2 linked regions of the Xenopus tropicalis genome follow. The protein of the gene in region 1 purifies or fractionates together with the protein of each later gene. This does not show direct contact. Links are inferred from orthologs where the notes say so. Each region holds a gene or a part of one and is shown on either strand. Other genes may lie near its edges.

Region 1 (16,452 bases):
TTGGCTGTAAAATGCAGACTTTTTTTTTTTTTTTGCTGTTGTCTGCCTGCACCCGGGTGGACACAATGCTTTGGGTGCAGGCTGGTGCCACTAATCTCCCCGAGTTGCCTACCCCTGCCATCCCACCGGTGAACATGTAAGTTGCCGGCGGGATGGCAGACGCGGCGGGGCGATTTCGGGAAATCGCGCCGCCGCGTGTGCCATCCCGCCGGCGACTTACATGTTCGCCGGCGGGATGGCGGGTCATGGCAACTCGGGGAGATTAGTCGCCCGCGAACAGGGAGTTTTGTTGCGGGCGACTAATCTCCCCCGTGTGCCAGAGCCCTTAGGGGTGCCAGAGCCCTTAGGGCGCGATTTTGCGCAAATCGCCGAAAAAGACTCACGAGTTTTTTTCGGCGATTTCCGGAAATCGCCCCGCCGCGTCTGCCATCCCGCCGGCGACTTACATGTTCGCCGGTGGGATGGCAGGGGTAGGCAACTCGGGGAGATTAGTCGCCCGCGAACAGGGAGTTTTATCGCGGGCGACTAATCTCCCCCGTGTGCCAGAGCCCTTAAACTACTCTTTTCTGTGCATGAGCCTTTTGCTATATTCAATTTGAATGGCTGCCCCTACACAGCAGCTTATTTATATAAACTATAGTAGAGTTCTGAAGCAAACACAATTTTTTTAGCAGTGCAGGATAAAAGCACGTTATATGTAAATGCGTGTAATTATTTTTTTTTTATTGTTCTTTGTGTATATTGCCACATGTAAATATGCATATAGCCCTACCCCCCGATTTCAATCGGATTACCATTCAGTGGATTTTCATCTCTTGCCTATTCTGTATATTTACTACTTGGAGGCATTAACTTGGAGGTTTAGGGACCTGGAAAAATTAAAATAGATTTAAAAAGAAAACAAATGCTTTTTTCTCCACAATAAAACCATGCTTAAACTGCATTATTTAAAATATTATTTTTTCATTTTTTACCTTAAAAATATTTAACTGAATAGTACAGCAAATATGCGGATATTCAGTGGTAGACATGCTTCATTACACTGGGCAAAAATGTTTTTGTAGTTGTTCCTTTTCTGGTAAATTTGATTTTGTTCCAATGCTTTAGGGCTCTGAAAAATCATTAGAGTTAAAGGGATAATGATACATTTCAGTTAGTTTTTAACAGGTACAATTTACTACTCAGCACTAACTGCTCACTGCAAAGGGGATCCCCTGCTTCCCTGTACCCCCCAGTTTCTGGCCAGCTGGATGCCAAGCTTGGGGGTGAGGCAAAAATGATTCCCCAAAGCCCAGCAGCTCTGCTCGGGAGGCAGAAAGGTACTTTTGCAATGGGTGGTCTGCTCAGGGTAGGTTTTTATAAACATAGTGGCACATTCCTTCTAAAATTTGGAATGTCATCTCTTTAAAATATGCAATTTGTTTGAGAAAAAAAAAATGTTAGGAAAATTGCATATGTAAATGAAATGGGATCATCATAAAGCCAACATTATAGTAACCATTGACTTGAAGTGCAGTTATGGTTAAAAGCCTGATTTATCCTAGTTTTATTTTTTGTATAGAAACTTGGAAGGTTTGTCATTGCCGGTGTAAAACTGATGAGAAAAGGCTGATCTGTTCTGCATCTGTCTCATATATGTTAGGACAGCAATGAATACACATAGGGCAGATATTGCAAACTCTTATTTCACACGTGTGTGGGGCAGATTAGCCTTTTTCCCATGGCATAAAGAAAATGCCATGTGTGCTGTAAACCAAAGGATTGTTTTCACTGTGATCATCTCCAGAAGATCTCTACTAGGGCTGGGCGATATACCGTTTAATACCGAATACCGGTGTTTTTTTAAAAAACTATATTCATTTTTCAGATACCGCAATAACTCCTCCTGTGTTATGTTGTCTGCGGCCTTGCCTGGGGAAACTAAGCCTGCCTGATTTACCTTACGACTTTCTGTTGCCGATCCTTCGCTTGCCTGACTCTGATTTTCAATACTGCAGTAATTATTCTCTAATTTATTAGGAAATGGGGTTAACACCTAATCATGCATGGAAAAAAAAATACCGTCAAATACCGTGACACCGATATATAATTTTGAAAAATACCGTGATATAAATTTTTGGTCATACCGCCCAGCTCTAATCTCCACACACTTTTATAGTTGCCGTTTGTCTTAAGCTTTTTGATTTCTGCAGTTTTCTTCTCTTATAGGAACTTTAGTGTCCTTAAATAAAATATTTACAAAAGAAGCAGAGTACTAACTATTAATGTTACCTTTATACCAGTTATAACTTATTTCCCCCCTCCCTCCTTTCCTTGTGGGTTGATTTCCATAGCAATACCCACGTGCTATTAGAGTGACCTTGGCAGTCTATTCAGCATACTAGCTTAAGCTGCAATAATTGAAATGCAAAGTCATTTTATCTTGCACTTATTTGTTTGGAGTTCATTTATAGAATAAAGAGGGTAAAATCATCTGCTTTTTATCATGTTATTGTTTTTAAGCTTTCCATGGCAGGAGAAAATGCAAAATGTCTTAGTGTATAATACTTGTTTGTTCTTTGGCTTCAACATAGGTAAAATTTGTTGGGATGGGTTCCATAAAATGGTTAAACAGAAAATATGACTTTTGAGCATGGCTGTCTGGGTTATACGTGTCACCAAAGGTATCTGGTCTGATAGCCTTGTTCTCCCCTGATTCTGACCTACTTTTTTAGTGCAGCTCTGTAGGTGCAGACAGGTGTCATGTAGAATATGCAGGCAACCGTATTCTAGACAGGTAGCAATTGGCCTTTACTTTTTTTTAACATAAAATATTTTAATTTTGCTTTTTTATGGCTTCTCCAATATGGAATTTAAACTGCTATCTTGTTAGACTAGCCTCACAATGACTCTCCTTTCTGATTACTTTGCTGGCAGCTTTTTCTATGTAAGTTTAGAGTGAAGCAGAGCATAAAGGCAACTACAAATAAGAAAAACACAAATTGTAGTTGGTCTTAGAATATTTTTGTTGACATTTTAATAAGTTTATTTAACCCTTTAATTAGGTAGCCATTCCAGAATGCTGAAAACATGTCTAGTTTACTGCTTTTCTGCACTTGACACAGATATCTGTCTATGCTGTGATACCTCCTATAGATAACAAAAGTATTGCCTGAATTTCTAAAATATGGCTGCACGCACAGGGATAAAATCTACATGCCGAAGGCACAATGCCCATGGATAGCCACTTAGCTAATTAGATTATTGCCAGTAGTAAAGCTGAACCACATTACAATATGTTACAGAATTGCCTCTTAGCATGGAAAGAGCGCAGCTAGATCTGAATGTAGCCCACATTTAACAAAATGGATTAAACATCTGTTCTTCTCTGTAAGGGCCTTTGTGTTAGGTCAAACCCTGTAAATCTGTGGCATATGATCTTATTAGGTAAACATAGGCATAGATGTCCATATTTTTCACCTTGCTGTTTTTATTAGATATTGAGCCCTCTAAGCAACCCTGAAGTACAAGGATTATGTACTGGGGGAATTTTCTTGGCAGAACAAGTGGATCACAAAGCCTGCGATCAGGAATATTTTCATCAGTCTCTGGGTACTCTGTTCATGTGTCAAAGTCCTCATCTTGACCATATTAGCCAAAGATTGTCTGGTCAGAATAACTAGTTCTGTTCCAGGTGGCACCCATGCACAAGCAGTTCTGAGCTCAGTTAATTCTTGTGTATGTGGTTCATTAGACTCTTGGGCTCTGCTAGGAATTTGTAATCAAATTAATAGGCAGCAGAAGATACAGCAGTTGTTTAATTGTGACTTTAACTTCAAAGGGAACCATTTAGGTAAACTCTGTTGTAATCCAGTTTAAGTGATTGCTTCATCTCTTTGTTGGTCATTGAAGCGGTTCTTGTTTCATGTTCTTTCTTCTCTTCCCAACAGGCAGCGGATCTAAGCAAGCCCATAGACAAGAGAATATACAAAGGGACACAACCCACGTGTCATGACTTCAACCACCTCACAGCTACAGCTGACAGCGTTTCTCTTCTTGTGGGGTTCTCTGCTGGCCAGGTCCAACTTATAGACCCAATCAAAAAGGAAACAAGCAAGTTATTTAATGAAGAGGTGGGTTTAAAAACTGCATATATATCAGGGGGTTGCAGCTTATGCTGAAATATTGGCCGGAAAGTAAAACACTTTCGAATGCAATAGAAAAAGTTTTGTTTCTTAGTTTTGTGTGTGTTTTCTTATGAATTCTAGTTCTATTGTTGCTATTATTTTTTCAGTCGAGCTGACTGAAGTCAGGAATTCCAAAACATGATTGCTTGTCATGCATGGGCCAACCCAAATATTAGTAGCCTGGGCATGTTTCCAGCCTGACTGATATCTGGGCGATAATCTGGTGGATATCTTTTTGTGAAGTTTAGAAAATCGTGAGAGGAATATATTTGTGCCCCTGTTGGCACCCCCATAATGATCTGCTTGTTCATCCAGGGGCCTTGTGGGTCAGGAATCATTTAGAGCTCTGTCACAGATTAAAGGAAAAGTAACACTAAAAATTTTTAACTAAAAAATCTATTCTACCCTCCCCCAATAATTGCCCTATCCTGAAAACCATTTATTATTTTGAATGCTTTAGTAGAAAATACCTGTAAAAAAACTTGGCTTCCTGTCATTTGAACAAAGGCGATATGGCGATGCAGGGGAAGTATCAGGAGATGCATCAACTATGCGGCGATCGATTGATCGAGCCTAGCCTGACTTCATGCCGTATCGCCTTTGTTCAAATGACAGGAAGCCGAGTTTAACAGGTATTTTCTTATAAAGCATTCAAAATAACAAATGGTTTTCAGGATAGGGCAATTATTGGGGGCACTTGACACCTTTCAAGTCGAAAATATACACTCACCTAAAGGATTATTAGGAACACCATACTAATACCCTTCTCTGACCTCTAGCATCAACAAGGCATTTTCGCCCACAGGACTGCCGCATACTGGATGTTTTTCCCTTTTCACACCATTCTTTGTAAACCCTAGAAATGGTTGTGCGTGAAAATCCCAGAAACTGAGCAGATTGTGAAATACTCAGACTGGCCCGTTTGGCACCAACAACCATGACACGCTCAAAATTGCTTAAATCACCTTTCTTTCCCATTCTGACATTCCGTTTGGAGTTCAGGAGATTGTCTTGACCAGGACCACACCCCTAAATGCATTGAAGCAACTGCCATGTGATTGGTTGATTAGATAATTGCATTAATGATAAATTGAACAGGTGTTCCTAATAAACCTTTAGGTGAGTGTATACGAGAGATATTTTGAAGAGGTGAAATATGCAGTTTGAGGCAATGCAACCTAACAACTGTTTATTTTTTTTTTATATAATGTTTATTTCTATCAAAATTAAGGTGTGCTTGTTTTAAAATGTAAATATTTAAAAACACTGGTTATTTTATTTGAATTTTAGCGCTTTATTCAGTTATTCATGCTTTGCTTAAGTGTAGTGGCACACAGGGTCATTAGGAACATTTGGTCTTTTTGTTGCTCAGTGCATGGGTGACTCGGAAATGCCCCCATTCATTCCTAGATTAATTGGGTGCATGAATGGAGGCACATAGAATTACCCCGTGTGCCATTACTCTAGCGATATCTCAGTATCATTAGTGGAGGCAATGTGAAGCTCTCCAGTGCCTACATACAGTTGCCAGGGAATCTGTCACCCTTACATTTAGAGAAATATCTTGTCTGAGAATTATGCTACTGATAATCTTACAACTGGTCATTTAGCCATTACCAAAGCAGGACAGTTGAGGACTATTCATTTGATTCAGAGGCAAATCTAAAAATAAAAAATGTAACATGTTAGGTGTATGAATTGTCCTCTGAATGCAATTTAAAACATGATCTTGACTTGTTTGTACTTTCTTGTAGCTTATCTTGCCTGAGCTCTTCTTAACACTGATTTTTGCATCTTTTATTTTGTCTTTAACAGAGACTAATAGACAAGTCCAGAGTAACCTCTGTAAAATGGGTTCCAGGCTCGGAAAGCCTCTTTCTAGTAGCCCATTCCAGTGGAAATATGTATTTGTATAATGTGGAGCATACATGTGGAACCACTGCTCCACATTACCAGTTACTTAAGCAAGGTGAAAGTTTTGCAGTCCACACATGCAAGAGCAAGTCCACACGAAACCCTCTACTGAAATGGACTGTTGGCGAGGGTGCCCTAAATGAATTTGCTTTTTCCCCAGATGGGAAATTCTTAGCCTGTGTGAGCCAAGATGGCTTTCTTCGTGTATTTAACTTTGACTCGGTAGAGTTGCATGGTACAATGAAAAGCTACTTTGGTGGACTGCTGTGTGTGTGTTGGAGTCCTGATGGCAAATATATTGTAACAGGTGGAGAGGATGACTTGGTAACTGTTTGGTCATTTGTGGACTGCCGAGTTATAGCCAGAGGTCAGGGACACAAATCTTGGGTCAGTGTTGTTGCATTTGACCCTAATACCACTAGTGTAGAAGAGACAGACCCAATGGAGTTTAGTGGGAGTGATGAAGATTTTCAGGAACTGATAAGCTTTGGTAGAGATAGAGCAAACAGTACACAGTCAAGATTATCGAAAAGGAACTCTACAGACAGTCGTCCTGTTAGTGTAACCTATAGATTTGGCTCAGTAGGCCAAGATACCCAGCTGTGTTTATGGGACCTTACAGAAGACATCCTTTTTCCTCATCAGCCACTTTCAAGGACAAGAACACACACAAATGTCATGAATGCCACAAGTCCACCTGCAGGAAGTGGTGGGCCAAACCCAGGAAGCAATGGCAACAGTATCACAACCCCAGGCAACTCCATTCCTCCTCCTCTTCCTAGGTCCAACAGCCTTCCTCATTCTGCAGTGTCTAACGCAGGCAGTAAAAGCAGTGTGGATAGTGCCATAGCATCTGGTGTCAGCAAGTTTGCAACTCTGTCCCTCCATGATCGCAAGGAAAGACATGACAAAGACCACAAGAGAAACCACAGTATGGGACATATATCTAGCAAGAGCAGTGATAAACTGAACCTAGTTACAAAAAATAAAACGGACCCGGCTAAAACTTTGGGAACCCCTCTTTGCCCCAGGATGGAAGATGTCCCTTTGTTAGAGCCTCTTATCTGTAAAAAGATAGCACATGAAAGACTAACTGTGCTTATTTTTCTTGAAGACTGTATAGTCACTGCTTGTCAGGAAGGATTTATTTGCACATGGGCAAGGCCTGGTAAAGTGGTAAGTTTTAATCCTTAACACTGCGTCAAGATTTAGAACCTGAGTAGCTAATTATTCTGGGAAACTGACTTTTTATTTCCATTCAATGTAGAAATACTTGTTTTGTTTTTTTCCCTTTTGAGACATATTTTGGTTACTGCATGTCATACTGTTTTGAATCATTTGAAATTTTGCCACAGTATACCGTACTTGGGGGAGTAAAAAAATAAGTACATGTAATTACAAAGAGTATTGTGCCAACCAAAGAGAGAATTCCTTTACCAGAAGCACTGTACACTGTAAAATATTAAATATGCGCTTTCCCACAAAAAAATGGAAAAATGTGCAGGTAAATTTGGTGTCGGCCAACTGAATTGTAATGTCAGAATTAGCAAAGAGGTGGGCTGAGCATGGAACGGGTTGTGGGCCCCTTCACGTACATGGAAATTAAAGCACTTGTTAATGTATTTGTATCCATATTGAATCATTCTAGAGAAGGTCTAAACATGGACATAAATTTATTCTATTAAGCTAATAAGATCTGTATTTCTGTAAATAAAAAGGTTACCTTGATTTCTTTAGTATTCTCCATGTGTAACTCTTTCTTACAATACATACAACCGATATACCGAACTAAAGTTTTTAGTAGACATTGACTGCTTTGACGGTGGGTCTGTACGGTTGGTGGAATGTCAATCTGATCACCTTTTTAAGATAACAAATTGCTCAAAATATATATGGTTCTTCATGAAAGGGGTCAATTCACAACAACAAACTAACACAAAGCCATATTAATGCCATTTGGTTGTAGCATAGCCTGTAGTTGTGTCAATTTTGTTGGGCTGTGCTGTTTAGCTAGATGTTCTTACTGCTGCTCATTGTCCCAGGCTTTTATCTTAAAAAAAAAAAAAAAAATCCCTACTGGTGAATTATTAAACATTTTAAGGCTCATTTGCCAGCTTGGAACGTTTCTTTACAAATTCTCCCCTAATTTTTATGGTGTTGCATAAGAAAGTATATCACTAACTAGCAGAACTGACGCTCACTCAAAGGCACACTGCACTACTTTATATAAAGAATACTGCTTTCCTTGGAAGCTAAAGCCTATAAATGTGTCTTAACAATAATGCCATAATTTTATTTATTTATTTTTTAATGTTTACAATGGACCATGGTTTCTTTATATTCCCTCCCTTGGTAAACTCATAAACTCACCCTTTATATAGGGAAAATGAATATGCAGGGGAGCCACAGGCAGCAGAGGTTATCAGGGCATTGAATATTGGCAAAACATAAATGACCTTTATCAACCACCCTGATTTCCCACTCATCTGTTTGGATATAGTGTGATCTTATTGGTTACATTGCTTGTTTTGCAGCGGCTCACACTGCTACACAAATCTGTTGCAAACGACAGTATTTGTATGTTCAGATATGTCGTTAGTGTTATTTCTCAGTATGTAGGTGTCCAGGTAGGAAAGAGAATATTTTTCCTTTACAACAGTAAGGGAAGAATATTTTCTGTCCTGCCTGGATTCTGTACAAATGAAGCCCTTTTTCCCCATCTGCACTGTTGATTACTACACTATACAGTTTTTAAACAAATAGAACACTGTTTCAGTAGTAGCTGTATTTTTTTGTAAATAAGGTTACCTTGATTTCTTTCTTTTTCTTTATCTATTATTGCCCTATAGACAAGTCAGTAAGCTGCCAAGCTGTGCATGTCTGCTTTTTGGCTCTGTTTGCTTTTTAACTTTACTTTTGTGTCACTTGAGTGGAAAAAAAATCCATATTCATCATATTAGATTGGACTGATCTAAGTCCGCTCCTACACAGGTTTATTTAATGTTTTTAACAAGGCCTAAAATCTCATATGTTAGGTGATTTAAAAGACCATGTCCAGAGAAGCTTGCATTCATCTTTAACTATTATTTATATTAACTGTTTGCACTTACACCATCACAGCTAGGCACGGACATGGATTAAACACACCTTTAGCAAGTGTCTGGATGTTAAATAAGTTCTAGGGTTAAATATAAAGCAGGACAGAGTGTCTCTCACTGACAAGTTAGCCTGTCTTGCAGGACATAGCATCTTTCCACAGACAAGTCAGCCGGTCTCCTTTTCCCCAGTGAGTTCACTCAAAATGAACAATAGTAAATTGCAAGTCAAGTTGGGCTGCTTTTGTAGGAAATCAGAAAACCACATTTGGCTTACTCTTCTAGTTATTTTTGGACTTTTTTTATTCTGTTGGCAAATTAGTCCTAATTTGTATGTATAAATATAATTCTAGCAAGAAAATAAAATTTCAAATGTTTCTGAGAGATGAGTATGCAGTACCAAAAATGGCGCCCAGGTAGTTTTCTCATTGTATAATCATTTGCAGGTAAGTGTGTTTTTTTTCATTAGCTTTCTTTTCATTTGCACTTTTTTTTTTGTTCACAAAAACACAACACATTTTAACATATATTTTAGACTAATATATGCTCACATTTTGGAGTGCAGTGCTTGTGTGACAGTACCCTCAGCATCTGTGGCCAAGTGCAGTCATTCTAGAATATGAAGCAAGTAACCTTATTCACCAATGTGTTAATAATGTATTTAATAATGCCTTTTTATAGGGGGAACATTTTCTTTGTACTCCAGTATAGCAGACTTTATACTGTAGCAGCAGGTAGTGAGAATAGCAGCAGTTATTAACCCACCAGTTGCGTATGTTAATATTGCAAATATTTTTCTTTTGTACATGATAATGTTACAATTCATGTAAGAGGATTTTGTGCAGTGCCTGTTGTATGTCTGTCTATCTTCTAGTTGACTTAATTAGAAAAGACAATAAGTTTAAAGGAGAGCTAAAGCTCGGCAAAGAATTAATGAAGACTTTTTACACCATATTTTTAACCTTCTGTACCAGCCCAAGGCAACCACAGCCCTTTAGCAGGGAAGATCTGCGCCTCCAAAGATGCCCCCAGTAGCCCCCCATCTTCTTTTCTGCTGATTCCTTGCACAACATTAAAATTCACAACACAAGTTTGATTAGCAGTAAGTTCATATTTAAATTACATTTTGGCATAAAAACCAGTGTATTCTTCATCAGAATTCATCACTAATCAGCCCTGTATCATCAGCTATTATGACAGATGTAAGGGCAATGACAAATGGGATGTTTTGTGCCACATGTTTGTCCAGCAGCATTTTGCATGTTAGCCGGTGGAGAGGGAACAAGGGATGTTTTGTTGGCCGCTGTAGCCAGATTTAATTGTGGGTGACAAAATGCCCGGATCTGTTATTGTCCTAAACCTATTTGATTCCCAGAATTTTCTTGGAAAAAAACTCAACGCCATCTATATATCTGGTTTTCCCCTAGACTTTGCTTGGTGGTCTATAATCTCCCAGTGTTGTGCAACAGCCATTCACTAGTTATATGGAAGCAACAGTAACTATTTCAAAATGGAGCTCTTAAACAATTTGCAAGGGGTCTTTTATATTTTTTCAAATGATATAACATTTTGTTCCTATAGTCGGAATGACAAGAGCCTATACAGAAGGATACGCAATAAAAAGTATCAATAAAAAAAACTAAGTGTAGCCTCACAAATAGTGTTTTTTTTGTTTTGATTTTGTTTTTTTTTGTGGTTGTTGGGGTCCACGAAGTTAGTATTTCCAATATTATTCTTTAAAGAGATATATTGGTGAAATAAGTAAACATAGAACATGAAGATCAGTAGGAAAGTTGCTAAGGCCTTTCTACTGAAACTCAATTTAACAGTGAATGTAATATCTTAAACCATATTCTTTTAACATCCAGCTACTGGATGAACAATCAATTCACTCTGTAACCCTAAGCATTCATATAAGTAGAAGTGCTATTTATTTTAAATAAATGTATTCTCAGCATTCAGGATGAGTTGGGCGTTGCAGCACCTTCAGAGCAAGACTTAGAGACATCAGTGCATTTGTTTTAAAAATCACAAACCCATTCCTTGAGCTGAAACAAAAATGGCAACTGAGTTAAGTAAAATAAAAAATCAGAGTTAAAACTAGCACAATTTTTGCCTAACATGTAACTTACATAAACAAGCGGAGGAACATCCTGACTCCTCCCATTTATCTCCTCAATCCCTAACCCAGGCTTCTGCCCTTCTTCACATGCTGCACTTATAATGCAAACATTCAGGCAGCAACACAGAACTAGCTGCTCTACCTGGCCCGGGCCATCCTTCATTTAATAAAGCCTTGGAATTGTGTACAGACCCAAGTAATGATATTAACATAGGGGTTCACTTAGTTGTCCACTTGAACGTTAATTTATGCTAAAAGACAAAACACAGTAACATGTCCTGAAGCAGAACTTTGCCACAAGGGAAAGTTGCAGCTTTATTAGTAGTATGTGCTATTGGGGGATCTTGAAAATTATCATTTTAAAAATTAAGGGCTGCCCCTGAGATTATACTATTCATGGTGCACACAGACAAACCAAGGGCACACATACATGCTAGGCCACATCAGCCAATGAATGGACAGAGTTCTGTCCTTTACTCCCACACTACTTCCTGTTACAGTTAGAGCTGTATTATTTCCTGTCTCTGAGGGAGCACACGGACCATCACAAAGTAGTGGATCAAGGGAAAAGATATAAGATGCCAATATTTATTGACTAATATATATATTCCAGTTTGGTAAGATTCTTTAATAGACTACTTAGTAAGATATAAACTATCTGTTGGATCTCACTTAAAATATTTTGTGATCCCAGCATGCTAATGTGGATTTTAACTGTCATGTTTATAAAGCCTTATATCTATTCAGTGGAACATACCACTCTGTCAAGTTAGGACTTGGCTAGTTGCCTCCTTAGGGTGCTGTTAACCCAAGTTCTCTCTTTGTATAATGGCATTTCTGTGATTAGCATGTAGCTTTTGTTTCAAGCTGAGAAACCAACAAATCAATTGCTATACAAATTGCTGCTGCTGTTTATGCAACACTCAGCTAAGAGCGATTGCACTCTGTGTGCTTTAGAATCTTCAGCACATTTGTAGAAGGTGACGTTACATTTATCATATAAGCTGATGCCCCAAGACTGATTACTGATCAATTCTGGTGCACTGTATTGTAAAAGTGTAAGCTCGGATAACTAACACCATGTGCTGGGAATCAGCAAAAGAAATTTGGGTGCTATTGGGGGCTTAAGGTGGCCATACACGTAGCAATTTTGATCTTTCCTGTGACCGACAGTCGCAAGAAAGATCTTTGTTTTCCCCCACTGACGTTCAGGGCTGAATCGTCTGATATGGAGGTTGAAATAATAGGAATTCTACCTCCACCTCCCGATTCAGCCTTGAACGCAGATTTTGTTTGGGTGCCTTCAATGGGCACCGATCAGTGAGACGATTGATATCCGCAGCCTTTGTGATATCGGTTGTCTTGTCGATCTACCATACACGCACCAAATATTGCACGAAATGAGGTGTCATACGATATCATTGGTGCGTGTATGGCCGGCTTAATTCATACTCACGGATCTATACTGCTAAAGGGCTGTGGTGGTTGGTAGATTTGATCAAAACACAAGGTGTAGCCTTTTTAGTGTTGGTCTTTAGTTCCCTATTTTGGCCTTGGCTAGTGTTTGTGTACTGTAATGATGTAACAAACTTGGTTGAAACTGTCTTAGCTTACCTATAGCCATACACAGGCCAGTGTTCGTTTCTAACTTTTCCACTTATTGGCTCATGTATGGGGGCAATCAGACAGCCACCCAACCAATATCTGGTAAACATGCCATGAAATAAGACTGATGCACAGTAAACAGGCAATAATACTATAAAGGTTGGGTTTGTATATTCAGCATTAATTTAAATCTTAATCATACTTGCACATAGAAGATCGGAAGTAATATTTCTATCTCTTACTGATGCATCGTATGTATCAAACACTCAAGCTTTTTCGGGATGTATCCCACTCAGTTCTTTTTTTATTGGTGGCAGCTTAAACCACTGTACTATATAGATAATTATAGTGTGCTGACCTAAAATATCCTTATAAAGGCAAATCCTCTCACATGAAATGTAGGACAGCAGTCTAACACAGAAATATTCCCTTGCTCTTAAAACGAGTTACAAAACCTGTATGATTGCATGTTTATTTTTCCCCAAAGAGGCCTTTTATAATAATATTGATGGTTCTTGGGAAGAACAGTAGTATTTAACGGGCTACGCCTCATGCATAACCACACACTAACATATATATTTTGAAAGAGTAAAGCCAGAGTAGCAAACAGGCTGTAAAGATGGCCATAAACTGAAAATCCTGTTTATGGACTAAGTGGGCTTGTATGCGCATTTGCCCTACTTTGTGGCCAATATGATCCCCACATGATTTTGAGGCTTAGTCAGATAGTGATTGTGCTGGAAATGTTGCTCACCCAAGGCGTCTACACAGGCTTTCCATGTGTTCAGCCCGATCTGCCCACCGCCTGGCAAGGTCTTTAATGGTCTTTGTCTTTATAAAGATCATTTTAGCCATTGTATTTCTACTTTCTGCATTGTGTTTGCAATATTAAAGCACAAGGAAAGCCTATTACTGGGAGTGATACCAGTTTTATAGGCACCCGCCAGGGAATAAAATCCTTTTCCTTGGGCCAGGAATATTTTGGCCCCTAGTGCTACCCTGGGTGGCGTAGGAAATGCCGCCCCTCTGCTCCTAGGCTTTTTGCATTGTAGGTGGCCAGGGGCAGGCACGTTGCTAATGCAGGGAATGAATAGCACTCTCTGCAACAGAAGTTACGACGTAAAACTGAATTTTTGGCTCTTTAGCCACCCCTGGTAACTTCAAGGCACCTGCTGCCCAAGACAAGTTTCTTAACTCTCCTCATGGCAGCAGCGGCCCTGCCTTGGGCTGAGATTCTTTCTGTCGAAGAACTGGCATCTTCCCAGGGTATCCTTGTGCCTAACTTGACTTGCGTGTGCTCAGTGTAATTTCCAATTTGACTCATCCATGCCTGCGGAATACGAGTTGGGTGCAAAGGATCCCTGCTTAATGCAGGTAAGATAACAGCAGCACCTAGTCCTACTGTGTTTTCTCTTGCATGCATAGTAAGATCAATGAATGGGATCTATTGTTAATACTCGCCCAGGGTGCATTTTAGCCACAAAATGAAAAAGTTTATTCTGGCTGAATCCCACCCTGTGTTCTTATTGACAGGAGGATCACATTCAATTCTGTTACAATGCATACAGTATAAATGTGGGCACACAGGATTAGACTTGTATGCCATAGACCGAAGGCAGTATAAATTGCTGGCTAGGGCACTGCAAGAAAAGTTAGTGATTTGAAAGGATACACCCAAAACACCTTTGCTGAAAAACAAAACAAAAAAAAAACTAGTTTCCTTGTTTTGCCATTATAAAGCACTAATTTAAACACTTGCTGGCCATTTTATTCAGAGCTCCCCCTCTAAACAAACAAACCAACCCCTCCCTTCTCTAAGCAGCCTTTAAGCGGCTCATTATCAGGGGCTTTTCAGTGGACTGGTAATTAGTTTTATCAGCTCTTTTGAAGTTCTTTGGACTGGAAGTGCTAACATGGCTTCATATTAATTTCTAGTGCTGGAAAAAACAGAAACTTAGATATTTTTTAAATAAAAACAATAGACTAAAAGTATGTTCAGCACATGCCCTGTTTATTGAGCTTGTGCATAAAAAGTGGTGTATACTATCCCTTTAATTCACACGAGGTGTTGCATTAAAATTGTTAGTTATATTATGGACAAAGCAAATGCCCTTACTGGGTGGCTTGTTTTGATTTTACCACAGTGATGCAATTAGAATATAAGAGTTTCCCACACTGTGTTACAGAGCTTTTGTGCATTTGCCACAACAGTGTAACCACAGCTATAATAGAGGGCTTTCAATTTGATCTATGGCAGCTACTTAAAGAGCAGTGTAATGAAAAAGACCATAATGACACAAGATGTCATTTCATGCAAGGAATTTTGCTTCACTGTGCGTAAGCATCTATATATAATATAATATTTATAGCATAGTGGTGCTGCCATTTTGTTTGCTTAAGGTAAGGCCTTGTCCTATAATAATCAAGGGTGCACCTTACTGGTGTAGTGACAAAGTGATTGGGCATAACCTGACCAAGGCCATACACTCATTGCAACCAGACATTTACTTTCTTTATTTTAACTGTCCATTTAAATATGATATGCCACCTAGAACTGTGCCCTGCCCACAAGTGGGCACTTGATTATCCGCTAATACAGCAGCTTGCCCATGGCCTTCCTTTGACTTGCCCCTTGCATTTACAAGGACTTCCTTTAACCTAATCAATGATGGCCCGGCCCCAGCTTATGGCAAACAGCACTGCAGCCTCTCTATTTAACTGTTGCTAAACTACAGTTGTCATTGGGATTGTGGGAGTTGTAGTTTAGAAATAGTGTGGGGGGAGGGGGCTGTGAATGGATACCTAAAGGCAGCTATACCTCTTGCTATGCTCAGTGGATGTACCCGTGGAACAGGGTGATGGGTAGGGTGTGGGTTTGTTCTCAGTTGCAGAATGCCTACTTATATTGATATGATAATGAAATGAATCCTCCTTCAGCATAGGATTTCCTATCTCGATGTTATACAGTGTTTTCTTTGGAGCACCGTTATGAGGTTTATTGTTCTGGATTAATAAAAGCTGCTTTGTTCACAGGGTTTATTATCATCCCAAAACCAAGCCAATTCTCCAAGTGGAACTGTAGTATAGCCAACCCACTACCGCTTGCAAAACATACACAGGACCAGAAGTAATGGCAGAGGAGCCAGCGGCTGTTCTTCAGCAACAGAACATCCATTTAGAACATGGCAGAGTTTAAAAGTGGGATTTTGTTAAAGGAGACCAAAAAACACTAAGATCATGGAGGAAAAAAAGAGTTTCTCTAATTGGTTGTTACATAGTAATAATAACGGGTGCACACACAGGAGATACTTAATCAGAAACCCTCCTCCCTGGATGAACAACACAACCCCCTTCGTTAGGAGTCACAGTGGAATTAATAATGAGTACTTTCATCCCTAATGCTTTCTACCTTCATGTCATTTAATCTTTCTAAATATGTAGTGTAAATGAAACAGTATGTTTTTGGAGATCCCCCCCATCATACTAGATGGCTCTTGAGAATTAATTCACCATTGTGTGTATTGCACTGATTTTGTTTTAACCTGCAATG
Region 2 (16,465 bases), about 95 Mb from region 1:
CCTACTGCCCCCTCCTATTGTCACTGCCCCCTCCTATTGTCACTGCCCCCTCCTATTGTCACTGCCCCCTCCTATTGCCCCTGTCACTGGCCCCTCCTATTGTGACTGCCCCCTCCTATTGTCACTGCCCCCTCCTATTGCCCCTGTCACTGGCCCCTCCTATTGTGACTGCCCCCTCATATTGCCCCGGTCACTGCCCCCTCCTATTGCCCCGGTCACTGCCCCCTCATATTGCCCCTGTCACTGCCCCCTCATATTGCCCCTATCACTGCCCCCTCCTATTGCCCCTATCACTGCCCCCTCCTATTGCCCCTATCACTGCCCCCTCCTATTGCCCCTATCACTGCCCCCTCCTATTGCCCCTATCACTGCCCCCTCCTATTGCCCCTATCACTGCCCCCTCCTATTGCCCCTGTCACTGCCCCCTCCATATTGCCCCTATCACTGCCCCCTCCTATTGCCCTATCACTGCCCCCTCCTATTGCCCCTATCACTGCCCCCTCCTATTGCCCCTATCACTGCCCCCTCATACTGCCCCTATCACTGCCCCCTCCTATTGCCCCTATCACTGCCCCCTCCTACTTGCCCCTATCACTGCCCCCCTCCCATACTGCCCCTATCACTGCCCCCTCCTATTGCCCCTATCACTGCCCCCTCCTATTGCCCCTGTCACTGCCCCCTCATATTGCCCCTATCACTGCCCCCTCATACTGCCCCTATCACTGCCCCCTCATATTGCCCCTGTCACTGCCCCCTCCTATTGCCCCTATCACTGCCCCCTCATATTGCCCCTATCACTGCCCCTCCTATTGCCCCTATCACTGCCCCCTCCTATTGCCCCTATCACTGCCCCCTCCTATTGCCCCTATCACTGCCCCCTCCTATTGCCCCTATCACTGCCCCCTCCTATTGCCCCTGTCACTGCCCCCTCCTATTGCCCCTGTCACTGCCCCCTCCTATTGCCCCTGTCACTGCCCCCTCCTATTGCCCCTATCACTGCCCCCTCCTATTGCCCCTATCACTGCCCCCTCATATTGCCCCTATCACTGCCCCCTCATATTGCCCCTATCACTGCCCCCTCCTATTGCCCCTATCACTGCCCCCTCCTATTGCCCCTATCACTGCCCCCTCCTATTGCCCCTATCACTGCCCCCTCCTATTGCCCCTATCACTGCCCCCTCATATTGCCCCTATCACTGCCCCTCCTATTGCCCCTATCACTGCCCCCTCCTATTGCCCCTATCACTGCCCCCTCCTATTGCCCCTATCACTGCCCCCTCATATTGCCCCTATCACTGCCCCTCCTATTGCCCCTATCACTGCCCCCTCCTATTGCCCCTATCACTGCCTCCTTTTCCTGCCCCTCCCGTTGCCCCTCTGGGGCCCCATACTGCCCCTCTCACCGCAGGCTGCTCAGTGCCAACAGGCGGAGCTGTATATTTGCTGCACTCAGTAGGCCAGTTCTGGCTGTTCCACGGCAGGGGGGGCACCCACCTTAGCAAAACTGCCCCCCCCCCGGCTCTGCAGGTTCCAACCTGCCAATCAGAGCGACATAAATAACATTCCATTCAAGATTATATAAAGGGGGCGGTACAGCCCCCAGAGAGGGAGACTGGGGGGGGGGGGGGGACTTGCACCCACTGACCCCAATGTTATTGACTAAAAGCCAACCTGCCCCACGTGCGCACACAGCTGTGGTACAGAGAGAGTCACTCTTACCCCGGGGGGGAGATTGTTATTGGGGAGGGATCCGGAGTCTGTAGGGTTCCCCTTATATTAGCCCCCCCCCCCTGGGCTGCACTCTATGTCCCACCCAAAAACAAGGCTTATTATTTAACGTGGAAACCCCCCTGTGCCCAAATCAGACTGTTGTGTAACACTAATCAGCCAATGGCTAAGGGAAACACTATGGCACCTCCTACCCATATGTATAAATACAAATATACAGAGAAGGAATGTTCTGGGCACACAATAAGCTGTACCCCCATACTGTACTGTCTAAGGGAAACACTATGGCACCCCCTACCCATATGTATAAATACAAATATACAGAGAGGGAATGTTCTGGGCACACAATAAGCTGTACCCCCATACTGTACTGTCTAAGGGAAACACTATGGCACCCCCTACCCATATGTATAAATACAAATATACAGAGAAGGAATGTTCTGGGCACACAATAAGCTGTACCCCCATACTGTACTGTCTAAGGGAAACACTATGGCACCCCCTACCCATATGTATAAATACAAATATACAGAGAAGGAATGTTCTGGGCACACAATAAGCTGTACCCCCATACTGTACTGTCTAAGGGAAACACTATGGCACCTCCTACCCATATGTATAAATACAAATATACAGAGAAGGAATGTTCTGGGCACACAATAAGCTGTACCCCCATACTGTACTGTCTGAGGGAAACACTATGGCACCTCCTACCCATATGTATAAATACAAATATACAGAGAGGGAATGTTCTGGGCACACAATAAGCTGTACCCCCATACTGTACTGTCTGAGGGAAACACTATGGCACCCCCTACCCATATGTATAAATACAAATATACAGAGAAGGAATGTTCTGGGCACACAATAAGCTGTACCCCCATACTGTACTGTCTAAGGGAAACACTATGGCACCCCCTACCCATATGTATAATACAAATATACAGAGAGGGAATGTTCTGGGCACACAATAAGCTGTACCCCCATACTGTACTGTCTAAGGGAAACACTATGGCACCCCCTACCCATATGTATAAATACAAATATACAGAGAAGGAATGTTCTGGGCACACAATAAGCTGTACCCCCATACTGTACTGTCTAAGGGAAACACTATGGCACCCCCTACCCATATGTATAAATACAAATATACAGAGAGGGAATGTTCTGGGCACACAATAAGCTGTACCCCCCATACTGTACTGTCTAAGGGAAACACTATGGCACCCCCTACCCATATGTATAAATACAAATATACAGAGAAGGAATGTTCTGGGCACACAATAAGCTGTATCCCCATACTGTACTGTCTAAGGGAAACACTATGGCACCCCCTACCCATATGTATAAATACAAATATACAGAGAGGGAATGTTCTGGGCACACAATAAGCTGTACCCCCATACTGTACTGTCTAAGGGAAACACTATGGCACCCCCTACCCATATGTATAAATACAAATATACAGAGAGGGATGTTCTGGGCACACAATAAGCTGTACCCCCATACTGTACTGTCTAAGGGAAACACTATGGCACCCCCTACCCATATGTATAAATACAAATATACAGAGAGGGAATGTTCTGGGCACACAATAAGCTGTACCCCCATACTGTACTGTCTAAGGGAAACACTATGGCACCCCCTACCCATATGTATAAATACAAATATACAGAGAGGGAATGTTCTGGGCACACAGTAAGCTGTACCCCCATACTGTACTGTCTAAGGGAAACACTATGGCACCCCCTACCCATATGTATAAATACAAATATACAGAGAGGGAATGTTCTGGGCACACAGTAAGCTGTACCCCCATACTGTACTGTCTAAGGGAAACACTATGGCACCCCCCTACCCATATGTATAAATACAAATATACAGAGAAGGAATGTTCTGGGCACACAATAAGCTGTACCCCCATACTGTACTGTCTAAGGGAAACACTATGGCACCCCCTACCCATATGTATAAATACAAATATACAGAGAGGGAATGTTCTGGGCACACAGTAAGCTGTACCCCCATACTGTACTGTCTAAGGGAAACACTATGGCACCCCCTACCCATATGTATAAATTCAAATATACAGAGAAGGAATGTTCTGGGGACAGAGGATATTTTATTGGATACAGGGGATACATGGTGGTTCCATATGTGGGTGCCAGTCGGTGTGGGTGCCAGTCGGTGTGGGTGCCAGTCGGTGCCGCAGGGCAGGAAGTCCCCTCCAGGCTGAGTATTTTCCCACAGGTAACGGGTCACTTGGGAGCCTCTGTAACAGGAAAGGGAAAGGGTAAGTACAGGAAGGAGACCCTGATAATGTGGGGGAGCCGGGCAGTTGTCACATAGCAACGGGGTGAATCTTACCATCGAGGATGTGGAACTGATCGGCCGACTCACAGAAACCTGAATGGAGAGAAATAGGGGAGCAGAATCAGAACCGGCAGCACTGGGCTTGTACATTGGGCCACGGAGCTGTCAATCAGACTCACGGTCACTGCCCCGTTTGCAGCAGGACATCAGCGCTTTGTGGCTTACTCACCGTATGCAGGGAAGGGGTACAGGGACTCCAGGCCCAGCTCCTGCTTACCCGCCAGCGCCTCAAACCTGGTGAAAATGTTGTTGTTCAACTGCGTCTTCCGCCCTGAGACGTAAAGAAAGGAGGTGGGTGGGAATCAGCCCACAAGCACCAATATACCCTGACTAAATGCCTACTGCCCCCCCCACGAGTGTATCTGCCCCCCATACTCACCGTACAGCTTCATACTCAGCTTCCTCTGTCTCTGATAGAACAGTATCGCGTAGCTCTCGTAATCCGTGTCCCCCACAACCATATCGATTGGCCCCTTGGAGCCCCGCCCTGTGGGTATGAACACAACCGGTACTGAGTGACCATGGGAAGGAGAGCAGCCCAGGAGCAGGAAGTACAGAGAATCAGAGCTCTGTACCTGGGTAAGTACTGGGGGAGATTGGATTCACTTACCCAGGGGGAGGTTCCTGCCTGACCATGGGAAAGAGAGCAGCCCAGGAGCAGGAAGTACAGAGAATCAGAGCTCTGTACCTGGGTAAGTACTGGGGGGAGATTGGATTCACTTACCCAGGGGGGGGTTCCTGCCTGACCATGGGAAAGAGAGCAGCCCAGGAGCAGAAAGAACAGAGAATCAGAGCTCTGTACCTGGGTAAGTACTGGGGGGAGATTGGATTCACTTACCCAGGGGGGGTTCCTGCCTGACCATGGGAAAGAGAGCAGCCCAGGAGCAGGAAGTACAGAGAATCAGAGCTCTGTACCTGGGTAAGTACTGGGGGAGATTGGATTCACTTACCCAGGGGGAGGTTCCTGTCTGACCATGGGAAAGAGAGCAGCCCAGGAGCAGGAAGTACAGAGAATCAGAGCTCTGTACCTGGGTAAGTACTGGGGGGGAGATTGGATTCACTTACCCATGGGGGGGGGGTTCCTGTCTGACCATGGGAAAGAGAGCAGCCCAGGAGCAGGAAGTACAGAGAATCAGAGCTCTGTACCTGGGTAAGTACTGGGGGGAGATTGGATTCACTTACCCATGGGGGGGGGGTTCCTGTCTGACATGGGAAAGAGAGCAGCCAGGAGCAGGAAGTACAGAGAATCAGAGCTCTGTACCTGGGTAAGTACTGGGGGAGATTGGATTCACTTACCCAGGGGGGGGTTCCTGCCTGACCATGGAAAGAGAGCAGCCCAGGAGCAGGAAGTACAGAGAATCAGAGCTCTGTACCTGGGTAAGTACTGGGGGGAGATTGGATTCACTTACCCAGGGGGAGGTTCCTGCCTGACCATGGGAAAGAGAGCAGCCCAGGAGCAGGAAGTACAGAGAATCAGAGCTCTGTACCTGGGTAAGTACTGGGGGAGATTGGATTCACTTACCCAGTAAGAGGAACCGCCCTTTCTGCTTGTTCTCCCTATATTCCTGTTTAATCTCCCAGCAGATTCCGTCCCTGAGAAAAGAGCAAGTGAAATATTTAGGGAATATAAAGTATCTAATTCCATCCTGATTGGTTACATCCAAATCTATCTGCATTCTGATAGGCCCCCGCTATATGCGCCCAGTTTCAGTCAACAGCTCCGTCTTTCTAAAAACCAACTTATGAACAGGTTTCAAAACGGCGCCCCCTATTGATTCTAAATACAGGTTTCTCCCTGGCTCCTCCCCCACAATTCACTTACAGTTTTCGGAAGGTGCTCACAGTCAGTGTGTCCCCCACTTTGGGCTTCTTGGAGGCGGTCACTTGGGCAATGGTGGCCTCAACCCGGTGATTGTTCAGCTTCAGGTAATTACATTCAGAAGCCACGGACAGGAGAAACCACTTCCCTGCAAACTGAGCCATTGAGGGATTATTGTGTGCCCAGAGCATTCCCTCTCTGTATATTTGTATTTATACATATGGGTAGGAGGTGCCATAGTGTTTCCCTTAGACAGTACAGTATGGGGGTACAGCTTATTGTGTGCCCAGAACATTCCTTCTCTGTATATTTGTATTTATACATATGGGTAGGGGGTGCCATAGTGTTTCCCTTAGACAGTACAGTATGGGGGTACAGCTTATTGTGTGCCCAGAACATTCCCTCTCTGTATATTTGTATTTATACATATGGGTAGGGGGTGCCATAGTGTTTCCCTTAGACAGTACAGTATGGGGGTACAGCTTATTGTGTGCCCAGAACATTCCTTCTCTGTATATTTGTATTTATACATATGGGTAGGAGGTGCCATAGTGTTTCCCTTAGACAGTACAGTATGGGGGTACAGCTTATTGTGTGCCCAGAACATTCCTTCTCTGTATATTTGTATTTATACATATGGGTAGGAGGTGCCATAGTGTTTCCCTTAGACAGTACAGTATGGGGGTACAGCTTATTGTGTGCCCAGAACATTCCCTCTCTGTATATTTGTATTTATACATATGGGAGGGAGGTGCCATAGTGTTTCCCTTAGACAGTACAGTATGGGGGTACAGCTTATTGTGTGCCCAGAACATTCCTTCTCTGTATATTTGTATTTATACATATGGGTAGGGGGTGCCATAGTGTTTCCCTTAGACAGTACAGTATGGGGGTACAGCTTATTGTGTGCCCAGAACATTCCCTCTCTGTATATTTGTATTTATACATATGGGTAGGAGGTGCCATAGTGTTTCCCATTAGATAGTACAACATAGAAGGCGCTAGTAAGATCCTTCTCCCCCCCCCCATTACACTACCAGACGCCCCTTTATATTACCCCCCACCCCAATAATACTCTGGGTGTACTTACCCGGTTTGGATCAAAGTTGCCCACAGCCTGGATATTGTCTATGGGACTGGGGGGAGGTGGTTTCTTCTGCCTTTGCCCCAGGGCAGTAGGGGCAGAGAGGAGCAGCAGTAGAGAGGCCAGTGTTGCCCCTAGTTGCCCCAGTAGATGCCCCATGCTGAGGAGGGTTCTGCTCGCAGTGTGTCCCAGAGGAGACTGACAGTCGGAGCCCAGACCCCGCCGCACTGGCTGCTGGGAGGTTGGGAAATCTCTGTAACTGGAAGTGACTGGGGTTGTTTGCTCAGTGCCGGTGCCCCCAGATATCCCCCTCTGTACTGTAAATACACCCCCACTGTGAGACTACAATTCCCAGCATCCCCTGCTCCAATCCTACTAATGAATACAATGGGCATTTGCAAACAATAGTAACTCTGAGGGAAAAGATAAACAACACCCCCCCCCCCGACCCCCAGCCCTGGGCACCCTATTAGCAAACAATGTAACTCTGAGGGCCAAGATAAACAACCCCACCCCAGCCCGTAGCCCTGGGCACCCTATTTGCAAACAATGGGAACCCTGTGGCACCCAGATGGGGGGGGGGGGGGTAAAACTACAGAAGGGGCTCATTTTCCTACTGAAGCCAAACCGCTCTCATTAGTTGCTCGTTATAAAGGGCAATTAAACCAGTTTTTTTCTAACTTCGCCCCCCTGTAACCTTTGTACTTCCCCTTTCATGGTTGCCATGGAATTTGGAGGAATTACCATTTATTAAATGTTGGTCCGAGGGAATATTATTTGGGCCCTCGTGCCCCCCCTTCAGGTTCTCAAGGGCCTCCCATTATACCACTAGAGTGTAAGCTCCTTGGGGCAGGGCCTCCCATTATACCACTAGAGTGTAAGCTCCTTGGGGCAGGGCCTCCCATTATACCACTAGAGTGTAAGCTCCTTGGGGCAGGGTCTCCCATTATACCACTAGAGTGTAAGCTCCTTGGGGCAGGGCCTCCCATTATACCACTAGAGTGTAAGCTCCTTGGGACAGGGCCTCCCATTATACCACTAGAGTGTAAGCTCCTTGGGACAAGGCCTCCCATTATACCACTAGAGTGTAAGCTCCTTGGGACAGGGCCTCCCATTATACCACTAGAGTGTAAGCTCCTTGGGGCAGGGCCTCCCATTATACCACTAGAGTGTAAGCTCCTTGGGACAGGGCCTCCCATTATACCACTAGAGTGCAAGCTCCTTGGGGCAGGGTTTCCCATTATACCACTAGAGTGTAAGCTCCTTGGGGCAGGGCCTCCCATTATACCACTAGAGTGTAAGCCCCTTGGGACAGGGCCTCCCATTATACCACTAGAGTGTAAGCCCCTTGGGACAGGGCCTCCCATTATACCACTAGAGTGTAAGCTCCATGGGACATGGTCTCACATTATACCACTAGAGTGTAAGCTCCTTGGGACAGGGCCTCCCATTATACCACTAGAGTGTAAGCCCCTTGGGACAGGGTCTCCCATTATATTATTTGGGGAAGAATTGATGTTGAGCTGGGGGCAGTTTGCAGTTCTGTGCCCCCCCAACAGGCCCCAATGCCCCCCAACTCCCTGGGACAGAGAGAAACACAGAGAACCGATCCAGGAGGTCCCCGCACCATAGAGGCTTAAGAAGCAAGGGGCAGAGCGACATTGAGATCATAGAGCTGCGGGAGGGCCGGGATAGCCGGGCTGGGAAGATGCGGAAGTGAAGGTGAGTTCTGCCCTCAGCTGCTACCGGAGCCGGAGTGTCCCCCGCACTCAGTCCGCTGAGTAATACTCGGTGTGTCCCTATACCGGCACCCATAGGCGCAGCGCCCAGCCGGGAGCAACTAGTAATCAGCGGGGCATCATGGGAACTGTCTGTCTAAATATATCTGTCTGAGCTGCGTATTCCTTCATTAGCTCCGCCCTCTGCTGGGAGGCCCTTCCCTGTATCTACCCCCCTCTCTGTATCAGTCCCACCGCCCCTACTGGGAGGCCGTTCCCTGTATCTACCCCCCTCTCTGTATCAGTCCCACCGCCCCTACTGGGAGGCCGTTCCCTGTATCTACCCCCCTCTCTGTATCAAGTCCCCAGCCCCTACTGGGAGGCCGTTCCCTGTATCTTACCCCCCTCTCTGTATCAGTTCCCACCGCCCCTACTGGGAGGCCGTTCCCTGTATCTACCCCCCTCTCTGTATCAGTCCCACCGCCCCTACTGGGAGGCCGTTCCCTGTATCTACCCCTCTCTGTATCAGCCCCACCGCCCCTACTGGGAGGCCGTTCCCTGTATCTACCCCCCTCTCTGTAATCAGTCCCACCGCCCTACTGGGAGGGCCGTTCCCTGTATCTACCCCCCTCTTGTATCAGTCCCACCGCCCTACTGGGAGGGCCGTCCTGTATCTGTCCCCCCCTGTATCTGTCCCCTCTCTGTATCAGTCCCACCACCCTACTGGAGGCCGTTCCTGTATCTACCCCCTCTCTGTATCAGTCCCACCAACCCTACTGGGAGGCCGTTCCCTGTATCTGTCCCCTCTCTGTATCAGTCCCACCGCCCCTACTGGGAGGCCGTTCCCTGTATCTACCCCCTCTCTGTATCAGTCCCACCGCCCCTACTGGGAGGCCGTTCCTGTATCTACCCCCCCTCTCTGTATCAGTCCCACCAACCCTACTGGGAGGCCGTTCCCTGTATCTACCCCCCTTCTCTGTATCAGTCCCATCGCCCTACTGGGAGGCCCTTCCCTGTATCTACCCCCCTCTCTGTATCAGTCCCACCGCCCCTACTGGGAGGGCCGTTCCCTGTATCTACCCCCCTCTCTGTATCAGTCCCACCGCCCCCTACTGGGAGGCCGTTCCCTGTATCTGTCCCCTCTCTGTATCAGTCCCACCAACCCTACTGGGAGGCCGTTCCCTGTATCTACCCCCCCTCTCTGTATCAGTCCCACCAACCCTACTGGGAGGCCGTTCCTGTATTGTACCCCTCTCTGTATCAGTCCCATCGCCCTACTGGGAGGCGTTCCCCTGTATCTACCCCCTCTCTGTATCAGTCCCAGCCGCCCCTACTGGGAGGCGTTACCTGTATCTACCCCCCCTCTGTATCAGTCCCCCGCGCCCCTAACTAGGGAGGGCCGTCCCGTGTATCTGTCCCCTCTCTGTAATCAGTCCCCCACCGGCCGCCTACTGGGAGGGCGTTCCCTGTATCTACCCCCTCTCTGTATCAGTCCCATCGCCCCTACGGGGGGTCCGTTCCCTGTACTCTACCCCCTCTCTGTATCAGCTCCCACCGCCCCTACTGGGGAGGCCGTTCCGTATCCCCCCTTGTATCATCCACCCCCCTCTGGCCCGTTCCCTGATACCCTTTCAGTCCCCCGCGCCTTCTGGGGATGGCCGTTCCTGATATCTCACCCCCTCTCTGTAAGTCAGTCCCACCCACCTACTGGGGGCCGTTCCTGTATCTACCCCCCTCTCTGTATGCAGTCCGCACCAACCCTACTAGGGAGGGCCTTCCCTGTATCTACCCCCTCTCTGTGTATCAAGTTCCCAACCAACCCTAACTGGGAGGCCGTTCCTGTATCCCCTCTCTGTATCAGTCCGACCGCCCCTACTGGAGGGGTAATCCCCCCTGCTCTGTATCAAGTCCCACCGCCCTACTGGGGGGCCGTTCCCTGTTCTACCCCCTCTTCTGTATCAGTCCCACGCCGCCTACTGGGAGGCCGTCCCTGTATCTATCCCCCCTCTGCTGGTATCAGTCCCACAACCTCTGGGAGGCCGTTCCCTGTATCTACCCCCCTCTTGTATCAGATCTCCCCAACCACCTACTGGGAGGCCGTTCCTGTATCTACCCCCCTCTCGTATCAGTCCCCACCGCCCCTACTGGGAGGCCGTTCCCTGTATCTACCCCCTCTCTGTATCAGTCCACCAACCCTACTGGGAGGCCGTTCCCTGTATCTACCCCCTCCTCGTTTATGCGAGTCCCACCAACCCTACTGGGAGGCCCGTTCCTGGTAATCTTACCCCTGCTGCTGTATCAGTCCCACCCGCCACTGGGAGGCCGTTCCCTGTATCTACCCCCTCTCTGTATCAGTCCCACCGCCCCTACTGGGAGGCGCGTTCCCTGTTCTACCCCCCCCTCGTGTATCAGTCCCACGCCCCTAACTGGGGGCCCGTTCCTGTATCTGACCCCTCCTCTGTATCAGTCACACCTACGTGGGGGGCCGTTCCCTGTATCTCCCCCCTCTCTGTATAGGATCCACCAACTCCTACTGGGAGGGCCTTCCCTGTATCTACCCCCCTGCTCTGTATCAGTCCCACCGCCCTACTGGAGGCCGTTCCCTGTATCTACCCCCTCTCTGTATCAGCCCACCAACCCTACTGGGAGGACCTTCCATGTTCTACCCCCCCGCTGCTCTGTATCAAGTCCCACCAACCCTACTGGGAGGCCGTTCCCCTGTATCTACCCCCCTCTCTGTATCAGTCCCACCAACCCTACTGGGAGCCGTTCCCTGTATCTACCCCCTCATCTGTATCAGTCCTCACCGCCCTACTGGGGAGGCACGTTTCCCTGTATCTTACCCCTTCTGTATCAGTCCCACCGGCCCCTACTGGGAGCGCCGTTCCTGTATCTGTCCCCCGTCTCTGTATCAGTCCACCGCCCTACTGGGAGGCCCGTTCCCTGTATCTACCCCCCTCTCTGTATCAGTCCATACCCGCCGGCGCTGGGGGGCTGTTTCCCTGTATCTACCCCCCTCTCTGTATTCAGTCCCCAGACCGCCCTACTGGGAGGCCGTTCCCTGTATCTACCCTCTCTGTAGTCAGTCCCACCCCCTACTGGGAGGTCGCGTTTCCCTGTATCTGTTCCCCTCTCTGTATCAGTCCCACCGCCCCTACTGGGGAGCCGTTCCCTGTATCTACCCCCCTCTCTGTATCGAGTCCCACCAACCTACTGGGGGGGACGTTCCCTGTATCTACCCCTCGTCTGTATCAGTCCCACCACCCTACTGGAGGAGCCGTTCCCTGTATCTACCCCCCTCTCTGTATCAGTCCACCGCCCCTACTGGGAGGCCGTTCCCTGTATCTGTCCCCCTCTCTGTATCAGTCCACCACCAACCCTACTGGGAGGCCCGTTCCCTGTATCTGTCCCCTCTCTGGGTATCGTCCACCACCTAACTCTGTTCCCTGTATCTCCCCCCTCTCTGTATCAGTCCGCACCACCCTACTGGGAGGCCGTTCCTGTATCTACCCCCCTCTCTGTATCAGTCCCACCGCCTACTGGGAGGCGCCGTTCCCTGTATCTACCCCCTCTCTGTATCAGTCCCATAACGCCCCTACTGGGAGGCCGTTCCCTGTATCTAACCCCAGCTCTCTGTATCGAGGTCCTCTACCGCCCATACTGGGAGCCCGTTCCCTGTATCTACCACCCCTCTCTGTATCAGTCCCACCGCCCCTACTGGGAGGCCGTTCCCTGTATCTACCCCCCTCTCTGTATCAGTCCACCGCCCCTACTGGGAGGCCCTTTCCCAGTATCTACCCCCCTCTCTGTATCAGTCCCACCGCCCCTACTGGGGGGCCGTTCCCTGTATCTAGCCCCCTCTCTGTATCAGTCCACCGCCCCTACTGGGAGGCCTTCCCTGTATCTACCCCCTCTCTGTATCAGTCCCTCGCCGCCTACTGGAGGCCGTTCCTGTATCTAACCCCCTCTCTGTATCAGTCCCACCGCCCTACTGGGGAGCCATTCCCTGTATCTACCCCCCTCTCTGTATCAGTCCCACCGCCCCTACTGGGGGCCGTTCCTCCTGTATCTACCCCCCTCTCTGTATCAGCCCTACCAACCCTACTGGGAGGCCCTTCCCCTGTATCTACCCCCCTCTCTGTATCAGTCCCCCCACCCCTACTGGGAGGCCTTTCCTGTTCTTCCCCCCCTCTCTGTATCAGTCCCACCGCCCCTACTGGGAGGCCGTTCCCTGTATCTGTCCCCTCTCTGTATCAGTCCACCAACCCTACTGGAGGCCGTTCCCTGTATCTACCCCCCTCTCTGTATCAGTCCCACCAACCCTACTGGGAGGCCGTTCCCTGTATCTCCCCTCTCTGTATCAGTCCCACCGCCCTACTGGGAGGCTGTTCCTGTATCTACCCCCTCTCTGTATCAGTCCCACCGCCCCTACTGGAGGCCGTTCCCTGTATCTGTCCCCTCTCTGTATCAGTCCCACCAGCCCCTACTGGAGCCGTTCCCTGTAATCTACCCCCTCTCTGTATCAGTCACCGCCCCCTACTGGGAGGCCGTTCCCTGTATCTACCCCCCCTCTCTGTATCAGTCCCACACGCCCCTACTGGGAGGCCGTTCCCTGTATCTACCCCCCTCTCTGTATCAGCCCTACAACCCTACTGGGAGGGCCCTTCCCTGTATCTACCCCCTCTCTGTATCAGTCCCACCGCCCCTACTGGGAGGGCCGTTCCCTGTATCTGCGACCTCTCTGTATCAGTCCCATCGCCTACTGGGAGGCCGTTCCTGTATCCACCCCCCTCTCTGTATCAGTCCACCGCCCCTACTGGGAGGCCGTGTCCCTGTATCTACCCCCCGCTCTCTGTATCAGTCCCACCGCCCCTACTGGGAGGCCGTTCCCTGTATCTGTCCCTCTCTGTATCAGTCCCACCGCCCCTACTGGGGGGGTCCGTTCCCTGTATCTGTCCCCCCTTTCTGTATCAGTCCCACCGCCCCTACTGGGAGGCCCTTCCCTGTATCTACCCCCTCTCTGTATCAGTCCCACCGCCCCTACTGGGAGGCCGTTCCCTGTATCTACCCCCTCCTCTGTATCAGCCCTACCAACCCTACTGGGGGGCCGTTCCCTGTATCCGTACCCCCCTTCTGTATCAGTCCCACCGCCCCTACTGGGAGGCCGTTCCATGTATCTACCCCCCTCTGTATCAGCCCACTGCCCCTACTGGGGGCCGTTCCCTGTATCTATCCCCCTCCGTCTGTATCAGTCGGCCCTACCAACCCTACTGGGAGGCCGTTCCATGTATCTCCCCCTCTCTGTTATCAGATCCACGCCCTACTGGGGGGCCATTCCCTGTATCTGTCCCCCTCTCTGTATCAGTCCACACGCCCCTAACTGGGAGGCCGTTCCTGTATCTACCCCCCCTCTGTATCAGTCCCACCGCCCCTACTAGGGAGGCCCCTTCCCTGTATCTGCCCCTCTCTGTATAGTCCCACCGCCCCACTGGAAGGCCCTTCCTGTATCTACCCCCCTCTCTGTATCAGTCCCCACCGCCCCTACTGGGAGGCCCTTCCTGTATCTAAACCCCTCTCTGTATCAGTCCACCGCCCCTACTGGGAGGCGTTCCTGTATCTACCCCCGCTCTGTAATCAGTCGCCGCTACTGGGAGGCCGTTCCTGTCTCTACCCCCCCTCTCTGTATCATCCCACCTGCCCCTACTGGGAGGCCGTTCCTGTATCTGTTCCCCCTCTCTGTTATCAGTTCCCACCACCTAGGGAGCCGTTCCCTGTATCTACCCCCCTCTCTGTATCAGTCCCACCTGCCCTACTGGAGGCCCGTTCCTGTCATCTACCCCCCTCTCTGTATCAGTCCCACCGCCGGCCTACTGGAGGCCCTTCCCTGTATCTACCACCCTCTCTGTATCAGTCCCAACCGCCCCTCTTGGACCGCTTCCCCTTTATCTATCCCCCTCTCTGTATCAGTCCCAACGCCCTACGTGGGAGGCCCTTCCCTGTATCTACCCCCCTCTCTGTTATCAGTCCCACCGCCCCTACTGGGAGGGTACCGTTCCTGTATCTTACGCCTCTCTGTAATAGTCCCCACCAGCCCCTTACTGGGAGGCAGTTCCCTGTACTACCCCTTTCATCGTGTTCTCCCAGTGCTTATACATGAACATGATGTAAGTGACCCCCCCCCATGACCATGTACCTCCGTTGGGCAGGGGCCGCCAGGGGGTAACAGAAATGAACACAATGCGAGCGATTGGACCTTCCCAGCTTACCAGACAGCATTCTGTACCAGATCTTCAGAGGCCGTTGCCTTCCGATCTCCTCAGCCGGACTGGTCTGTCGGCGCTGGTACAGAGTCTCCCGAGATGATTTCCTGTGGAAGGAGCTTTTCTACCGACACTTCCGGGTGCATCGCGACATCCTCCGGATCCACAAGGTCAGTGCCCTTCTTCCTGCCGACTGGGCTGCTCATCCTCCTCCTGTAAGAGATCCAATCTCCGCCCCCAGTCTTACCAGGTAGGAGAACTCTGATTCTCTGTACTTCCTGCTGCTGGGCGCGCTCCTCTTTCCCATGGTCCCAGGCAGGAACCTCCCCTGGTAGTGAATCCAATCCCAACCCCCAGTACTTACCCAGTACAAGAGCGTCTGATTCTCTGTACTTCCTGCTCCTGGGGCTCTGCTCTTTTCCCATGGTCAGGCAGGGAACCTCCCCCGTGGGTAAGTGAATCCAATCCCCCCCTCCCAGTACTACCAGAGTTACAGAGCTCTGATTGCTCTGTACTCTTTCCCTGCTCCTCGGGCTGCTTCTCTTCCATGGTCAGACAGGAACCCCCCCCTGGGTAGGTGAATGACCAATCTCAACCCATCGTACTTAGCCAGGTACAGAGCTCTGATTCTCTTGTAACTATCTCTGCTCCTGGGTCTGCTTTCATCTTTCCATGGTCAGGCATGGACCTCCCCCTGGGTAAAGTGAATCCAATCTCCCCCCAGTACTTACCCCAGGTACAAGAGCTCTGATTTCTCTGTACTTCCTGCTCCTGGGCTGCTCTCGTTCCCCTGGTCAGGCAGGAACCTCCCCTGGGTAAGTGAATCCGAATATCTCCCCCCAGTAGCTTAACGCCAGGTACAGAGCTCTGATTCTCCCGTAACTTCCTGCTCCTGGCTGCTCTCTTCCAGTGGCAGACAGGAACCGCGGTCCCCCCCTGGGTAAGTGATATAGTCCAAACCCGCCCTAGTACTTTACCCCAGGTACAGAGCTCTGATTCTCTGTACTTCCTCGCTCTGGGCTGCTTCTCTTCCCATGGTACAGACTTGGAAGCGCTCCCCCACCTGGGTAAGTGAATTCCAATCCCCTAGTATTACCCGTACAGAGCTCTGATTCTCTGTACTTCTGCTCCTGGCTGCTCATCTTCCATGGTCAGACAGGAACCTCCCCCCCTGGGGTAAGTGAATCCAATCCAGCCATAGTGACTTACCAGGTACACGAGCTCTGATTCCTCTGTACTTCCTGCTCCTGGCTGCTCTTCTTCTTCCGCATGGTCAGCGCAGGAACCGGTGCCGCCGCTGGTGTAACGGTGAAGTCCAATCTCCCAGTCATATAAGGCTCTAGGTGACGAGAGCTGTTGATTCTGTTCCGTAGTAACGTCTGCCTGCGTCGCTGGGTTCACTGCTCTCATTCGCCATAGGTCAGGCAGGAACCCCCCCGGGTAAGTGAATCCAATCTCCCCCAGACTTACCCGAGGTACAGAG

What was found.
Region 2: the proteins of wdr20 (region 1) and fbxw5 purify together in Homo sapiens (co-immunoprecipitation; 3 studies listed by BioGRID and IntAct, counting the BioPlex papers as one, with this or other methods). This does not show direct contact. The link is inferred for Xenopus tropicalis from reciprocal best matches to the Homo sapiens genes WDR20 and FBXW5.

What each region holds. Positions count from the first base shown.
Region 1 is NC_030684.2:97,487,529-97,503,980, forward strand, and holds the end of wdr20 (WD repeat-containing protein 20), read left to right. Parts: intron 1-3,929; coding exon 3,930-4,112; intron 4,113-5,981; coding exon 5,982-7,274; 3' UTR 7,275-7,808; downstream 7,809-16,452. UniProt on the Homo sapiens protein: Regulator of deubiquitinating complexes. Activates deubiquitinating activity of complexes containing USP12. Anchors at the base of the ubiquitin-contacting loop of USP12 and remotely modulates the catalytic center of the enzyme.
Region 2 is NC_030684.2:2,783,075-2,799,539, reverse strand, and holds the start of fbxw5 (F-box/WD repeat-containing protein 5), read left to right. Parts: upstream 1-8,864; coding exon 8,865-8,873; intron 8,874-14,935; exon of another isoform or gene 14,936-14,959; coding exon of another isoform or gene 14,960-14,962; intron 14,963-14,963; coding exon of another isoform or gene 14,964-14,966; coding exon 14,967-15,152; intron 15,153-15,591; coding exon 15,592-15,595; intron 15,596-16,465. Other genes in the region: c8g (complement component C8 gamma chain), read right to left, coding at 3,987-4,000, 4,096-4,134, 4,271-4,372, 4,481-4,588, 5,624-5,694, 5,924-6,075, 7,011-7,338, 8,632-8,819. UniProt on the Homo sapiens protein: Substrate recognition component of both SCF (SKP1-CUL1-F-box protein) and DCX (DDB1-CUL4-X-box) E3 ubiquitin-protein ligase complexes.